Linked DNA regions of Saccharomyces cerevisiae S288C. The protein of the gene in region 1 interacts with the protein of each later gene in a biochemical or structural test. Each region holds a gene or a part of one and is shown on either strand. Other genes may lie near its edges. The genes, in order: YPP1, EFR3 and STT4.

Region 1 (5,026 bases):
ATTCAAAAAAATCACTTTATAGATATCCACGGCATTATGGATTGGCATTATGTAGCCGTACCTGTAAAATTCGTTGTTCAAAACCATTGGGTAGAATGAAGCAGAAATATTTAATATGATCCACGTCATCAACCAAATACTCAGGTATGGAGGGCAGTAAGCTATAACTAAGCTGAGAACGTTTTCATTGGCACCACCAACAGCCATCATTACCAACCACGTAGACATCCAATATACTACGAATCCTCCTCTGCCAAAGGCGGGGGTGAAATCGATCCTAAAAATTGCAGATACGGTACAGAATCCAATGGAAAGAAGAAAATAAGTTGCCCAGGAAATTAGAAGCCTGTAGATTAAAATATGCTTTGGCTTCAGAACTCTGGCCATTTCTCCGTGCAACTTACCATATAATGACAGTTGTAAAACGGTTAACAAAATACAATAAATCAGACCGACCTGCAGAGGGGCCATTAGAATACGATCAGCAAAGGGACGATAATCGTTGTAGGTGAACAACAACTGTCCTGCAATCGCCCAGTTCTCCATGTTTATATTAAGATCTCTGTCATTAGAAGTGATGTTGCTCATCAATGAGGGAAGATATTCCTTGACGTAATATTTCTGAAGGCGGACCTCCAATTGTTGCATGAGTGGTAGAATGGTCGATTTAACACTCGATGGGTCACGACCACTTTCAAACACGGATTCAAAAAAAATTGATGAATTGAACTCCGAGTTTGCGTCTTGGCTAATCAAAGAATTATACAAAGTGTCTGTAGCATTAGGTTTAACGTTTAACGCCAGCCAGTATCTCTCATCGTAAATTAAATCGACTATCTTTCTGTCAATTTCGGTGGAGTTCGTCGTACCAAATTTCCTATGAAATGATGTTGCGTTGTATATATGCCATGTCCCGGGGACAGACGCTAACAATGAGGGTATGATCGCGGAAATAGATTGAACTGAAGTATTAGATGGCGCATCCTGCAATACAACAATATTTTTCACTTTGAAAAAGTAACGATCTGTTCCGTAACAGGCACCCCAGTAAATCGATATGAGCGATACACACACACAAGCAATGAAGAAGTTGTTCAAAACAAACTTCGAGAGAATCTTTTTCCTATGATTTCGCAGTCTTGGAGAAAAAAGCCCTGTTTGAATTCTTGCCAAGGGACCGCCGTCGTTACCGCCCTTCTCTTCCTCATTAGCGCCACCTTCCCCCACAGATGACAATGAGGACGGCTTTTCATCAGGAGGCCGATAGTCTTCTAATGACTTTGCTAAGTCAGAAGAATGGCCGGAACCCTCAGCAAATCGCTGATTACTGTACGAAACCCCGTCCCTGCCGCCAGTAAATGCAGCTGCTGCTGCAAAACTAGGGTCCTCAATGTACTGTGACTCTTCATCACCAACCGATTTAGTCATATTTGTTCTCTGTACGGCTACTTACACTTATGTCAGTACCCGATTCTTACGGCGTATAAAAGATTAAAGAAACAGGATATGTGGCTTGATATATACAAAAAAAAAGAACGATATGGAGTACACTATGTATCTCTCAACAATGCTAAGATATGAAGACGCTTATTGACTACGCCAGTCCGTTTTCCATTCCCTTCTTCGAATAGGGTGGCCCGTTGATGACAAAGCTGCGAGTCATCTATCATCAAACAAACTCACGGCTTTCGCTTTTCTTTAGTCTATTTCGGATTGTACCACCTCCTCGGACATTCATAAAAGGATTCGAAAACGAATAACCACGCATATACACGGAAATAGGAGAAAACTAAACGGGAATCGGTTTATTTTTTTCTCAACATTTCTTTTTCCTGATTTTCCATCCTTTTCGAGATCCACCTATTGTGGTGAAAAATAACGAAAATATGTGCTTTAGGTGTGCAAGGCATAATGTGTGGCATACTGGAAGGAACAAGTTGAACACGCCAGCTGGAAAGAAGTTCAATACCAACTTGCCCAATGCCTAACTCAAATGTTCGGATTCCTCCTACTGTTCCATCGAAGATAATAGATGTGGTCGACCAAGCGCTAAGAGCGCGACTCTTAGGTGGCAGCACCTTCAATTCAGGGTTTGATAGTTTAGATTCCGTACTTAACTTACAGTTTAGACTACATTACCATGTTATTGGATCGAATGGGCCTGCAAAACCAGTTTGTGATGTTTTACTGAAGGAAAGTCAAAATTTAGAAAAGAATATGAGTATGATGGAGGAGTTGAATGACTATCCGGAGATTACAAAACTAGTGGAGAAAATTCTGTTCAATTGCCTCGGTATTCTTTTCTTCCACAGGGGCCAATTTCAGGAATCGCAGCGGTGCTTGCTGCACTCGTTGAAAATTCATAATAACACTGCATCGCAAAAAACAGCACTTATGGAGCAGTATGATAGGTATTTGATCGTAGAAAACCTGTACTACCGTGGTCTAGTTTCGCAAGACATAAATATCATGCAAAATGTTTTTTACAAAGAACTACTGGCCCACGTGGATACGATCCCTCCCGAATCAAACGGTCTTCTTTTCGAATACATCAGCTTGATCGTCGCAAAACTCAGGTTCAATCAAATTCAGGATTTAGCAGAAAATTTTAAAACTACCGTCGAAAATCCTTTTATTCTTTTCCTTTACATGATAAAGAAGTTCCAGTCACCTCTCAAAAAGCACATTGATAATGATGATCTTTATTTGAAGTTCGGACAGAACGTTTTGTTGAAGGCCAAATTTCCTACTGCTAGTGAGACAAATGATGAAGCTTTGGAGCATTTTAATGTCTTTTTGCAGTATTATTTCAAATTCACTCACATAAAAAAAATAAAAGTGAATCCCAGTTGGTATAATTTCATAATATCTTCAATGGAAAAGACTTTTCAAAGTATTGAAGTTTCGAAAACAGCAATGTTTCTTTTCCAAAACCTAAGCGATAACAGTAATGACGAAATAAAGAAGAAGACATTTAAAAGAGAATCTATACTAAATTTTGTTAATTTTGTGAAATACAACGACAAGTACTATCAACTGCACGATAACTCCCACCGTGACATAATTTCATTCATTGATGCGTATTCTTTTATTTTACAAAACTCCTCCAAAACCGATTCAATCGAAAATGTTTTTGATTACGATAATACGGTATCTACGTTTGCGACTTCCTTGAATTCCTTCTACAAAGAATATAATTTGCCATTAATGAGCCAATCAGAATCTTTAGATTGGCTAGAAAACAGCACCAGATGTGTATACCCAGGAAACATTTCGAAAGTTCTAACAAATGCGTGGTCAACATTGTACGAAATCAGAAAATATCAGTTAGATTTTCTTGTATCTAATAATTTGACTTCATATCTATGTAATGCAATGATGCTGTCCACAAAAGAAAAAGACAATGCTGATGTAGAAGAGCAGGAAGAAGGAGAGGAGGAGAAGGCATTACGTGAATTACAATTTAAATATTCTTACACTCTAGCACAACAGAGGCACATTGAAACTGCAATCAAGACTCTAGAATCATTGATATTAAGTAAAAACCCAAATTACTACAAAGCTTGGCATCTATTAGCTCTTTGTAGGTCTGTGCAAGAGGATAAGGAAATGTCGTACAAGATAGTTTGCTCTGTTCTAGAAGCTATGAATGAAAGTCTTCAGAACAATACTTTACTTCTGAATGATAGATGGCAATTTATTCACCTAAAATTAACGCAATTGGCGCTAATTGAAGAAATTTTTGGCACTTTAGAGGCACTGGAGACACTTCCAGAGGTCTTTGAATTATACGCAACATTATTTCCAGATTCACAACCTGAATTGAACAGCATGGGTCCCAAATATTCTCAAACTAAAGAATATCTTTTACAAATGGTGTGGATTTTTGCTGCAAATATGTACATGAGAACAAAAGACAATGATGAGGATGCCAAGGCCGCCATCAAAGAAGCCTCCAATGTCGAAAGTAAATTCAAGAATTTAAATTGTAATATTGCTAACGGTTATTTATCAATAATAAAAGATGAACCAGGCGTGGCATTAAAGGAATTTGAAACAGTTCTGTACTATGATGAGAATAATTTAGATGCCTTGGTCGGATTCGCTGAATTAATTTTCCCTGAAGAACTAGGCGTCGAGGAAACTAATCTTGAGCGTTATTATACTCTCAGCCTTGATAAAAAACCAGGTAAGAGGGCCAAACTTACGTTCGTTAATGACACAGATAGGTCAGCAGCGTATGCAAGACTAAAATTTCTATTGGAGTGCGCAATACTAGAATCGATCGAGGCTTACTATTCCCCAGAAGTTTGGTGGTATTTGTCCCTCATTTACGAGAAATATCAAGATGACGAGTACAAAAACTCTTTGCTAAAATGTATTAAATACCAAGAGTTGAATCCCATTCGCTCCCTAAGGTATTGCAATTACTAACGATAATTCTTCTGATATATACACACACATATATACATATGGGCGCAAGTATATTCTGGTGTAAAGATACTCATAGAAAGCATAAAGATGTAATTCAATCTAGTTGTATTATATTATTCATTGATTTATATTAATTTGATGAACAATGGAACATCTTCTCTTCAATAACGGTTTTGCCCATATACTTGACGTTATTAGGTTACCCGTTTTTATAAATGTAATAAGTTCAATAATTTGAAAAGAGCATTAGCTATAGTCACGTTTCGCGTTGAAACAATTCTTTAAATTATCTTCTCTTGGCAGTTTAATATACCAAACGATAGTCCTAACATACTGTTTTTCTTATTATTTACCAATGAGTAAAGCCAAGGGAACGGGATTTTCATCAATTGATACTGAAGATGAAAACTTACGCGAACGTTATGTTAATCAACCAAAAGCTAATGCCTCCGATATTCAAGATGAACAATTAGATTGCTTTGAGCAACTAGAAGAAAAACATAGGACAAAAAAAAATGAAGAATACACTGCGTTGAAAATTTTAAGGGATGTCATAGGTCCCCTTTTATTAACTATAACTTCGTTTTATCTA
Region 2 (4,874 bases), on another chromosome or scaffold:
AGACTCCACTTTTGATTGGATCGATTCCAGAAGAACCTCAGTTGGGGGCATTGCTGTTTTGAATTGTATTTTCATGGAAGTGCGCCCTTGGGTTATATGCTGCATACGCGACTCCACCTCTTTGAGAAAATCTACCGTATCTTCTGGTACCATGTGAGGTTCTTTGTTTATGGCGTTCGCGACTAGCAAGTTGTACTTATTGTCAATCGCGGACTGCGGATTGTTTTTGAATTCTGGTATGGGTAGCGTTGAGTAAGCTAATGGAACGGCTACTAATGAGACGCGTGGCGCATCATTTTGAGATGGTGGTTCTATGAAGTTGTCCTCTTCATTCATCGCTCTTTCATTTTCAAATTCTTTCTCGTATTCCGCTATCTCTGCATCTTCTTCTTTCTCGTCTTCACTTAATACAATTTCGAAATCGTTCTTGGGACTAGGCAAAGATGCGAACATTTGCACTAAAAATTTTCGTATGCGTGATTTTAGCTGTTTACCACTCTTTATATTACTGCGTTCATTATCTTCTTGGCCGGAGTCGTGGGGTAGTAGTTCTTTTGGTGTCAACACAGTGCCAGTTGCTTGTGCCTCGATTAGTTTTTGTCTTTTGCTTTCTAGCTTTTTTTTATAGGTGACTTTTCCCTGTTTCGTTCCTGGTGCAGATAGTATAAGTTTTGGTTTTTTATACTCATCCGTCAATGTAGTAGATTCACCCAGTGCTGCTTTCTCAACGTGTTCGTTCTCATCGTGTTTTCTTTTTTTGTCCTTATTTTTTTTACTTGGCTTATCCTTATTACCATCCAAACCTTTTCTGTTGACTTTTCTCTCAAACTGCTCAAACTTCTTTTTTATCTGGCGGTCTTCAGTGGACGTGTCATATATACCTGGCATGGGAGCTTGTTCATATACTATATCTTCATTGTAATCAATGTCGGTGCCGTATTTTTTTTTCGGTTTCTTAATGGCAACATTAATTCCTGCTTGCTTTAGCTCACGCCTCTTTTGTAGTTCAGCAATGCGTTTTGATTCTTCGAGCATCCGCTCTCTAATCTTTCTTGTAGCCTTCTTACCTTGGGTATTTAACAGACGAGCCCTAGCTTCAGCAAGCATTTCCTTTTCCTCATCTTCCAAATCACCATTATCTGGTCTAGCCATTTGAGTTTCAGCGTTAGGATTAATATCCCCGGCTTTCAAGTCAGTAACTCCTGTACTTAACGCAGCCCCTCCACTGTCTTCACTTTCTAATAGCCTATTATATCTTTCGACGCAGACCTGTGCAGGCCTGGCCATCATATCAGCTATGGTCCTCCACTGATTAGGCAGCTCTCTTGCAAGATCTAGAAGTTGGGCATCCTCCTCCTTCGAGAACTCTGTAAAATTCAACTTTGGATTTAAATATTCATTCCACCTTAATTCACTCTGCCTGGCAGTCTTTTTCTGCAAAAGGGATGCTACTTTGCTCCACTGATGAGTTCCGTATTTTTGTACAGCCGCTTTAAGAATCTGATCCTCCACATTGGTCCATACACCGCCTTTCACGTATATTGGTACGGGGGGCATCTTGAAATGCTAGTATAGTCCTCTTAGAAATGTTTTGCTTTTTTTCTTTACTATCTTCCTGAGTCGCATATGCTTTTTTGTCATAATAGTTCATAGCATTAATTTTTCATTAAACTTCAACCCCGGCCAAAGGAAGAGGAAGAAAATTTTGTTCGAACTACTAGGAAGGTAATGGTTTTGTTGAAAAAGCCAGGCAGCCAGGATAAATTGAAAGTATTGTGAGCAACCCCGCTATTGGAGTAGTATTAATTCAGTGGCAGACTGTATATTGAACCCAGATCATTCGCTCTATTATTCATCTTTCGTTCATTTTCAATTGTTCTGAAAGTGGTTTGCGATGCAGTTGTCTATGCGGATGATGTTCACACCAAAACATCAGAAACTGGTCAATCAATGTTATCCTACGGGAAGGACCACAGATAAGAAGCCTAAATCTTCGGAAACTTCATATTTGCTATATTACGTTAACTCGAGGCGTAGTAAATTGGAGAAAGTTAGCACTTACCTGATTAAGCGTTCCACTTCCGACTTGAACCATCGGCGCATAGGGAACATAGCCGTTACATTGGATTTAATGAACAAAATTGTGTTGCATTGTAAGGAGAATTTGAATGTATTTGTTAAAGATTTTTTGTACATTATGAACAAAGTTCTTTCCAACAACAATTTTAACAATGATGTATCTGTTGTTGAATTAATAGAACTGGCATTTAGTAGTATATGCCAGAACTTGGACGACGTCTTGTGTAACGGTGACATGGAATTCGTCCAGTTATACCAGAACTTTGTTGATCTTTTTTTTAAAATAGTTACTGAAAGAATTCATAATGATGACATGCTTCTGAAATGCTGTATTGATATATCAAACACAAATAGTGTTTCAAGCAACCCACAACTAAACCACTTTGTTTCCAAGTCTGTTGCCTATACTATTTCAAAGTTCCAAGAGAGAAATCCGAAATTTAAAACTTTGTCGCTGGAAGCAGCTCTGGAGAGCAATTTAGGAAAAAGGCTAAGTCGAACACAAACTCGTACAATTGGGTTAGATAAGGCCGCCGAAGATAATCATGACCTTTCAGTAAAAGCATTGCAATCCTATTTTAACACAACTGAGACAGACAAATTGAATTTGTCTATTCGTACTCTGTTGCGCTGTCTGCAAAGTACACCTAATAAGGAACTGCTAGAGTTTGTATGCAATGGTATACCTGTTCAGTTACGATATATTGTTATACTTCTTTTGGTCAGACAACTAAGCGACAAGGATAAAAATGTAAATCCAATTGTTTCCTTGAAATTGATGTCGTCATTACTTGTTTCAGATGTCAGTATAGTGGGGTTGAGTGTTCTTGATATAATGAGAAAGCTTTTAAATTTCCAGTTGAAAAATGCAACTAATAAAGAAGTTGTGGCACAGTCTTGTATCACCATGACAGACCTTAACCATAAAACTTATTACGCTGAACAGACCTCAGATATGTTATATGAACTACTATTGAAATTGAAAAGTGACACCGTCAAGGATGTTGAAAAGAATGCAGTTGTGGAAGATATTGATTTCCTCGTTGAACATATTACGCAGCCAAGTATCAGTTTGGAATTATTCATCGACTTGGCGCATTACATGAAAAACCACATTATATGTTTATTTAACATTGTTGAAACTGAGGTTCCAAGCAGCATTCTCTTTTCAAAACTGTACTCATTATTACGTGAACTGGATTCACATGGTGTGCAAAAAGAAATGATGGAAGAGATCTTTGACAAGTATGGAAAAATGGCACTATTATCCGGTTTGAATTATTTTCTAGAGAACGTTTCTGAGCCTGAGTATACCTATTATTCGTACCATTTACAAGCAGCTAACTTTTTAAAACTCAATGACTACAAGTCACAAACTGAGTACAAAATGCAAACTAGAACTTTGTTTACCAAGGAAGATTTATTGTCATACTATTCTGATACTGGATCAAATAAATACAGCAAGAAGGGGGCGCAGATTTTATTGTCTCGTGATAATCAAATTTCTACTTCTGATTTACTGTCGGACTCTCAAGTTCGTACTACACCTCTGGAGTACAAGAATGTCCCTAATGCTATTTTTTCAAATGGGAAAGCAGTGTATGATAACAACGATTTTGCGGCCAAGCAAAATAAATTCGACAACAGCATAGATGACAATATAGAAGAAGCTAACGATACTGTAATTTCTGATGCTAATGCAAAAGGTAGTATCTATAGGTTTGTTGCTGAGGACGCAAGATCATGGAAAACAATGAGAGCCACCGCACCAAAAGTTAGCGATTTGAAAAAAACTATGAATGAAAAGAATATTCCAAATAATATGAAAAGAGATGGCTCTTTTCGGGGTTCTCAATCAGTGAAATCTCGTGTCACTAATATCACATTTTTATTAAATGAATTGAAAACTTTTTCAGATGACGCGAATAAAATCAAAGATCCTGATGAGGAGAATATTGTTGGCTTGGATAAAATCGACGTTGCTAGATCAAATTCTCTGCGACTTGCACCAATATCTAGTCTTTCTGATCGCAGTAGCATTGGAAATAGAAAATCCTTTTTGCAAAAAACAGCAACTGGTGAAAATCAAAACGATGACTTTAAAGACGCAAATGAAGATTTACATTCTTTAAGTTCAAGAGGTAAAATTTTCTCCTCCACTTGAGAAATTAAGTTTTTGACGGACAGCTGTGGATGCTTTCAAGGGCAAGAGTGATATAGCATGACTTTCTAATTAATGTAATTTACGTAGATATAGATCAAATGGCGAAGTAAAAACTTCGAAAAAGATGGAAGAAGTCCTGTTTGCCTCAACTGGAGAAAGGAAATACGTAGCTGCAAACTGCTTATCACATATCGTCATCACCAGAATCTTCGTCTTCATACCACCCAGATTCGTACGCTGAGGCGTAATCGGAAAGTTCATTTTTCAATTCTTCTCTGTCACTATCATTTTTGAAGTACCTTACCACAAACTCATTCCAATGTTTGAATATATCTCGATTTTTTTCAGATGATTCTAATTCCAAAACAAATTCACGATCATTGGAAAATTCTGTCGGTATCGTATCAGATGGAAAATACCTGTGTGTATACATTTCAATCATCTTACTCCGTGAATCAGGTTCGGAATGATGTTTATGCGTTTGATTTCCTCTATCAATGAAACTTTTTGAAAATATGTGAGTAGAATTTGGTTTGTGGCTATTCTTGAAAGGAAGTACTCGAGAACAGAATGAGTAATCGGTGTCACCGATAACCATGCCAGTGACCATATTTCGCGACGAATATCCTAA
Region 3 (8,026 bases), on another chromosome or scaffold:
AAATTTTTCTCGTATGCACTAATTTCTCTATTGATTGGTCAGGACCTTTGCCGATTTCGGCGCCGAAATGCTCGAAAAACAAAGGGTATTGCCCGGCCCCGCGGACCTCCCTTTTGCGGCTCTCGGCCATTTTTTAGGTAATTTGACACCGTGCCCAAATGGCTTGGCACAATCGAGAATCAGGCACCCGCGTGTGACCGGCGTCATTCATTAAAGCCAGATAAGACAAAGTAAAATACAATGGATTATGATTAATACAATGATATACAAAAAGAGAGAAAATAAACGAAGGCTACGTCTGCGTAATTGACGATGGGAAACTGGTATTTTTATATAAGCATATGTAAAGTGCGAAGTATATCAGTACGGAATGCCATTTGTGAGCCTTTGGAATTCATCATAACCTTTAGTGAATATACTTTCATAACTTTTACGGATTAGCGCCTTCATATATAGTGCAGCTTCGTGATCGGTTTTTTGAGGTTGAAATCTTGCTCTTAGATTCCTAATTGTCTTGTGACCCTTAAAGCAGGGGAGACCGCTTCCTAACATAGGATTTACACACTCAATTATGGCCTCCACGTGCGGACGGGCGGCTAGATATGCCTTGATACAAAGTTCTTCAAAGTCCAGATACGCTGGGGTCTGGGGCGAACCTCCCATCACTTTAACCATTTCTTTCGTCAGCTTGAATGGTACTGCTTCAAACTTGATACCACCTGGGACAATATCAAAAATAAACCCAAAATCGATATGTAGACAATGTCCTTGATCATCGTACATAATGTTACCATTATGTCTATCCTTGAATTGCAACAAATACGAAATTACGCTATATCCCGCTAAGGATTTAACAAAGTTGTTTCGTGCGTTTTGAAATTCGATAGTAGATTCATTACCAAATTTACTAGTGAAATATTCATATAATCCATTAACAGCTTCACGTCCTAACATATCACGGGATACCGAATTGGGTAGCACATCGATGACACCACAACCCGGTGCCGTCGCAGTAACTCTGTAGGGAAAAACGTAGACATCCAAGCCAATACTAGACCAAATGGTTCTAAATAGCGAGATCAATTGTAACGCTAGAACATCTTGCCTACAGTCATCACCGACTTTGAAGATAGCAGCTTGCCATTTTTCAACTTCCTTGTTTTTACCTGTCAAAGGATCTTTTACGTCTTTCTTTATTTTAAAGGTCGCCATAAAAGGCGCCTTTGCGTGAGATTGAAGTGGCTTACCACTCTTCCGATCAATATCAATAACTACACCGTCAGGATTAGAAGGTAAATAAACATCAGGTTTCACCTCAATTTTGCTCATTTCTTCATCGATCTTATGTTTCTTTTCAGCCTTACTTTTTTTTATGTATGGTTTCAACTTACCAGATATGCCAGTTACTTCGTCGAAGAATTCAAATTCACGTTCGTAAAAATCGCGATGAGATTGGCTGAAACTTGAAACCATACGCTCCCTAATACGATCTAGAGTTGGTTTGATTTCATCTTCTTGTATACCTTCATCATCCTTGTAGCAGTTTGCAAGCATATTCCAGATTATTTGATGAGAAAATAACACACTAATTTTCGCAGTATCCAAAATCAATCTTTCGACATATCCGGTTTTATCGTATCTCAAACATTGTACGATTTGAGGAACATAGAAGAATGCCAAGTTCACATCTTGTGATTCCAACGAATATATGCTGAATTGTAAGATAAAAGAATTACCTTGCCATTCGGGAAGGAAAAGGTTGATAGATTTTAACGGGCTCACTGGCGCCCAGTATAAGGTTGCGTGTAGGTCTTTCTTACTGCTCAGGTGGCTTCCTTTTATGAACAGGTCAAGAGCACTTGGGGACCCCACACACATTAAAGCATGTTTTGCAACTAAGCCCACTAAAACATCCTCAGCTTTCTTGCTATAACATCGTTGTAAGAGATTTATTGCTAATGTTGGATCTTTAGCAAAGGTAGCTTCAACGATATCGCTTGTAAGCTCGTTGCTGTCGGCTCCTTCAATCTTCTCAGTCGGAGTAAGCCAGGTTTGAATCTGCTGGATTTCGCTTGCCAAGAAATAGTTCAGGATCTTGTAATCTTTCCCGCAATGACGTGACATTAGCGAGCTTAATTTGTTGAGCTGAAGGAAAAGGTCCCTAGTAACAGATAAATCTGCTTTGATTTTCAGCTCATTTGAGCCGAATGGCCACGCTACTGGTCTTTTAAACCAACTTAGGGCACCGTTTGTGATTTCTTGCGACAAACGGCCCATATACTTGGATCCCTGCTTATAACTTGCGTTTAGTACGAGAGTCGCGAATAACAATAATTCGTGGCGAATCATTCTAGCGAACGGGTGTAGTGAAGCCTTATACAGATTCTTGATACCATAAAGCGCACATTTCGTGAAAATTTTCAATAAAAAGTCACTTTGAAATAGTGTGCCCTCGAAATGGGAAGCAAAAAATTTAATAACATGAAGATGTGGTTGCATAGCTTGGGATGCATTTTTTGCATCTCTGTTGATACCTGCTTTGTCGTAAGGGGAATATTCCATTTTTTGGTATTCTTCGCCCTTTAAGTCATGATCGCGAGAATAGAGACCAATATTGTCATCAATGGAGCGCATCCAGCAATAGCATACTTCAACTAAAAGCAAATGTGCAACTTCGGGCTTCTCAGTTATGATTGTTAACCATACGTTTGTAGCAATCTTTAAAGATGCAGAGGTGAAGACTTCGAACGGGATGTGCACAATATCATATATCAATGACGCTGGTGCACCATTGCCAAGAATTAACAACGCGGTAGCCATATCAAGAAAATCAGTTACGTCTTTAGTTATAATCTTATTTCCTAAGGTCAAATTTTTTCTTATGTTTTGAGTGGAAATACCTATTTGCCTTTTGATATCCTCTGGTGATGATGTAATAGCGGTATCGAAAAGATATTTTGACCTCCAAGAATGTAAAGATATAAATCCAGAAATCGTGTTAGGTTTCTCTGGACCATAATAAGTAAGCCTTGATAATTCCTTATCTGCAGGTAAAATCAAACCAGCCATATCCATGGCAAATGAGACACCAAATTCAACAGAATTTAGCCTGCTGTACTCACCGAGATCTGATATGTATGATTGCAACAAAATCTTAGTATCCTGGTTGCTTCTATTCAATAGAATTCTTACCCATTCTTTAGCTGACTTGTGCAATCTTGATAGTGTCGTAGCGCGCCAGGACGATGAGCTTGGAACCAATATTGTTGTCTTAGAATGTTTTAATTTAAATTCATACCGTGGTTCAAATTTATGCGCCTCTGAGTCCAAGATACTATCAAATAGGGCTGTTAACATATCTAATAAGGTGTAGAGAGACAAATGATGACATAACGATGATGGAATAGATCTGATAAATATTTCACAGGCATGAAAAGCGGCATCCTGCAAAGTTGGTTCCCTATGAGAAAGGCAAAGTAGCAAGTTATTAAGTTGTTGAGCAATCATTTTGGAGTTGAATATGGCATCGTTACCCTTTTGAATCAACCTAGCATATTTTCTAATCATGGAAACCGACAAAACTGCAATACACTTCTCAATTGAACCGGAAAGAATGGAGGGGTCTGAGAAGTACAGTAGAGTCTTCGAACAATCACCTGCCTCGCATCTTATCGTTTCTAGAAGAACGGCAGCCGCTAAAAACATGATTTTAGACGATGAAGTTGTTCTGTACTGAACAATATTGGTATTGAAATATTCGGTTATCTGCTGTTTTTGTTGTTTGATATTTTCGTTAGATGAACCGCGGCGCAAAATTGTATTCATTTCCAATGAAAGCTCCTTGTTATTAGCAGGAAATTCAGAAGCCAGCGGTGGTGAATTATAGGCAATAGTTAATAAGAAAGAAAAATTTCGTTTGACAATAGGCCCGCCCAAGTGGTACCCATGGATGACAAAATTAAACCAGGCGTTCCTAAACTTGTTTGTAGTGACTTCATCCTTATTGATGTCCAATGGCGTATCGCCTGGAACAGGTAGTAGAGCGGCGAGGGGCTCTAAGTAGGTAGCGATTTGATCAGCAACACGGGAAATCTCCGTTTGAGGTCTGTGATGTTCCAATCGTTCTACTTCCCCACTGGCAATGATTGAGTCCAATAGATCATGAAGATACATGAAATATAAGTCACTTGAAAAATGCCTGGCCAACAATTCTTTTGATATCACACATTTCGCTTTAATAATATTTTTCAATAGTGCGCTATCATCAATTTTTGTTGCAATAACAGTTCTCGATTTGAAGAACTTTAGTAAAAGCGAAAATTCTGTCAGTGAAGTATTCGGAGCCAGTCTTGCCAAAGAATTCAAAATAACACCGTCTAATTCCTTTGACATAGAATTAACTTTTTGCGTAAGAATAGAGATAGTCAAAGCTGTTATGCTTTGGGTGTTATAGTATGAGGCGATTGTAGTCGTTGCAGCCACACAATTAGATATCAAAGAGGCATGGTATGTCATAGTAGCTCCACTATTGACATCATGGGAGGAAAGTTGGCCCACAGTTGTATTTCCGAGCAGAGCACCAGTGCCATCCAAACTGGCAGATGAATTTCGCAAGGGAAAGTAGTCTTTCTCAATATTTTTTCCAGATGTTATTGTTAATTGGCGCTCACGGAGCACCGGGACGGGCGATCCGTCCTCGGAAACAGCTAATAAGTTGTTCATGGAATAAATTGTACTCACAATTGCATCTTCATTTAGAGGGTATAACCCTGTGGTGAATATTTTTGCAACATCATTAACTGTTTCAGTCGTGATATGTGGAGACGCTACCAATAAAGGAAACATACGAATCAGAGTTAATGACAATTTTTCCGTGAAAAAATTCAGTAATGAGGCAGAAGCTACAATTGCTTTTATCAAAGATGGTGTAACGACATCAGATAAGAAAAATTTATCAATAGATTCAGAAACAACGTTTGTAAAACTTTCAAAAAGCTCGCTTTCTGTATCTTCTATAAACGGAATTAAACATAGCGTTTGTAGGTAGTGGGCTCGAGTATCAAAAGAAAATCTTGCACGGTTGTCTGTAGATAGGTCGAGAATATGTGACTCAGAACAAAATTGCAGGGAAATTTTACACATGTCTGTAAAAAACTGTTTATTGCTTCTTACGTTGAAAAAAAAGTCATCAATACACTTCGTATCATCGTTTTCATCGGCTACTTCTTGATCAAATTTGTAAAATTGGTATTGTTGATTTAGTAAGAACTCACTCAAGTTGGCGCCGACATGTGAAGTGTTTAACAGATGAGATATTAGCGAAACTTGCAAGCGAGATATTAATTCCAATAAGTAGGCACTGGATAGCTCATTTCCAGCATCGTAATACTGGACGATTGAATCATTGGTAAACGTTGCTGAGGAATTCAAAATCTTATCAACTTCGTTTAGAAATGATCCACGAAGCACAAGTTTCGCTAACTTTTTCCAGGTGAATTTAGTAAGCTCTGTAGAGTTGGGAAACTGGATAAATGCATTAATAAAGCCCACTAATGATAGTAGACCAGATTGTTTAATAGTAAAAATCTTTAATACACGCTCAAAATAAGTTGAAATGATGCCGCCTATATTTTCATAAAGAACGGGATACTGTTCACAAGCTTGAATCATAAACTTAGTCAGCTGGAAAGTTAGCAATTCAATCGGATTTCTCATCTGTTCCAACTTGAATTTCGAGGACAGAACATCTGAAATTCTTTGTCTTGGAGTTTCCAGAAAATAAGGCGCAATTATTTCTTTAAGCATTGTCTCTACCAGATCGAGCGTGGTAGGGATTGCAACACAAAGCGAAGTTAGTACTTCCCATTCACTCAATGTAAGTGGTATAGTATATATCTTTGACGTATTTGTGGAATAAAAAATAGGCAATGTATGAGTTATCAAATCTAATGTTGTACCATTACTGTTTTGATCATTTGGTGCACCCGTCGAAAGTTTAGTTAGTCTTCCAATAGCTTTCGCTCTTAAAGATGAAGAGGCTTTCAATCCTCTGGTAAATCTCATCTGCCTTAAACGAGTGGCGTTTTCGATTGCTGTAGTTATCTTTTTGTGATCTAATTTTTTTCTTGATTTACAATAGTTATTAATGTTGAATATGTTTTTTCCCACAACTCAAACATCTTCGCAGTATTCTTGAAAAAAAAAAATACTATTAACGTACCTTCATCCCTGCGCGTGCCGTTTGATGATATCAGCCAAAAGGTAAAATGAGATGAAAAAGGCCAATCATTCATAAATGTACTTAGAGACATTAAAGAATCAGTTAGAGAATATAAAACAAGATAATAAAAATGGTACGTAGATGCAACTATATCTTTCCGTTTCTCATTGGCGGTTTTTAGCGATCGAAAATACTAACATAATCTTTTTGGGGGGTGAGAATGTATATGTGTACTGGATATGTATATTCTTGGCTTTATTCAAATAGTTGAAATTACGCCAATTACAAAAGAAAAAGCAAAAAGAAAATGAAAACAGCAGTTCTATTCAGCCTAATTTATCGGCAGCAAGAATTCGTTTGAAAAGGGACCTTGATTCGCTGGACCTCCCACCAACAGTGACTTTGAATGTAATAACATCACCAGATAGTGCGGATAGATCACAATCGCCGAAATTGGAGGTAATTGTTAGGCCTGATGAAGGATATTATAATTATGGATCTATTAATTTCAATTTGGATTTTAACGAAGTTTATCCGATTGAACCACCAAAAGTTGTATGTTTGAAGAAGATCTTTCATCCAAATATCGATTTAAAGGGGAACGTTTGCCTAAATATTCTTCGAGAAGACTGGTCGCCAGCTCTAGATTTGCAGAGTATTATAACCGGGCTTCTTTTCTTGTTCTTGGAGCCTAATCCCAATGACCCGTTAAACAAGGATGCAGCAAAGTTACTGTGTGAGGGTGAGAAAGAATTTGCTGAAGCTGTGAGATTGACCATGTCTGGAGGTTCAATTGAACATGTCAAATATGATAACATAGTTTCTCCTTGAGTCAAGTTCAGAGTAATTTTCGGTTGATTTGATTATATATAAACAATAAAATTATAGATAATTGTGACATACTAGGCGAGTTGTCGCCTTGGTAACATCTTGCTACCGCCATCTTCTGTTAGTTTACGCCTTATGACCAACATTCCTTATATTCTCGTTCAAACTTTTGTCTCGATATTTTGCAGGTACCTGTAGAACTTAATGTGTTCTATTCAAAATAAGTATAAAATTTCTGGCCAGTAAAGGCAAACAAAACATAAAGATATTAATACGAAAAATTTCTTGAAGAAAACAAAAAATACTTCTTATAATAAAGAAACAGCGAAGCCATGGCTATTGACAAGATAATCAGGAAGGTGAGATACCCTGGATAGAAGACTAAGAGAGAGCAGGAAGTTGAAGAACGCAATCTCAGCTATCGCTAATTCTTACAAAAAATAAAGATATTACAACTATGGAAGAAAAAAATGAATGACTATACTAGTTAGTAATATTTAACAAGATAACGCTTTCTATTTTCTGTAAAAAAAATTCTGTCTCATGCACTTGGAAGCAGCTTCAACATTTCTCTTTTCCAGATGTCACATTTTCCGGACCGGCCGTCATTCAATCGCAATTAAAAGAGAAAAATACCAACAAGTGGGTTGATTTACTTTTGTGTTTTCAAAAAGACCAATAGTTCTAACAAAGTAGATGCTTAGAAGTAAGCAAAGTGGAATATAGAGAAACAAAATTAAGTGATAGATTTACTTTTACACAAGAAAAGAGATGAAAATTTTCAATACAATACAATCTGTGCTGTTCGCAGCATTTTTTCTAAAACAGGGAAATTGCCTTGCGTCAAATGGGAGTACCGCATTGATGGGGGAAGTAGATATGCAAACGCCCTTTCCAGAGTGGTTAACAGAATTTACTAATCTTACACAATGGCCTGGAATTGACCCACCTTATATTCCGCTAGATTACATAAATCTT

Evidence for each region.
Region 2: the proteins of YPP1 (region 1) and EFR3 form a complex in vitro, tested with the Saccharomyces cerevisiae proteins (2 studies listed by BioGRID).
Region 3: the proteins of YPP1 (region 1) and STT4 form a complex in vitro, tested with the Saccharomyces cerevisiae proteins (2 studies listed by BioGRID).

Annotation. Positions count from the first base shown.
Region 1 is NC_001139.9:892,713-897,738, forward strand, and holds YPP1 (Ypp1p), read left to right. Parts: upstream 1-1,980; coding exon 1,981-4,434; downstream 4,435-5,026. Other genes in the region: SNG1 (Sng1p), read right to left, coding at 1-1,428; dolichyl-phosphate-mannose-protein mannosyltransferase PMT6, read left to right, coding at 4,790-5,026. UniProt on the Saccharomyces cerevisiae protein: Involved in endocytosis.
Region 2 is NC_001145.3:690,064-694,937, reverse strand, and holds EFR3 (Efr3p), read left to right. Parts: upstream 1-1,894; coding exon 1,895-4,243; downstream 4,244-4,874. Other genes in the region: CEF1 (Cef1p), read right to left, coding at 1-1,557; DML1 (Dml1p), read right to left, coding at 4,428-4,874.
Region 3 is NC_001144.5:737,801-745,826, forward strand, and holds STT4 (1-phosphatidylinositol 4-kinase STT4), read right to left. Parts: upstream 6,064-8,026; coding exon 361-6,063; downstream 1-360. Other genes in the region: NEDD8-conjugating protein UBC12, read left to right, coding at 6,351-6,353, 6,488-7,051; chitin deacetylase CDA1, read left to right, coding at 7,820-8,026. UniProt on the Saccharomyces cerevisiae protein: Acts on phosphatidylinositol (PI) in the first committed step in the production of the second messenger inositol 1,4,5,-trisphosphate. STT4 functions in PKC1 protein kinase pathway.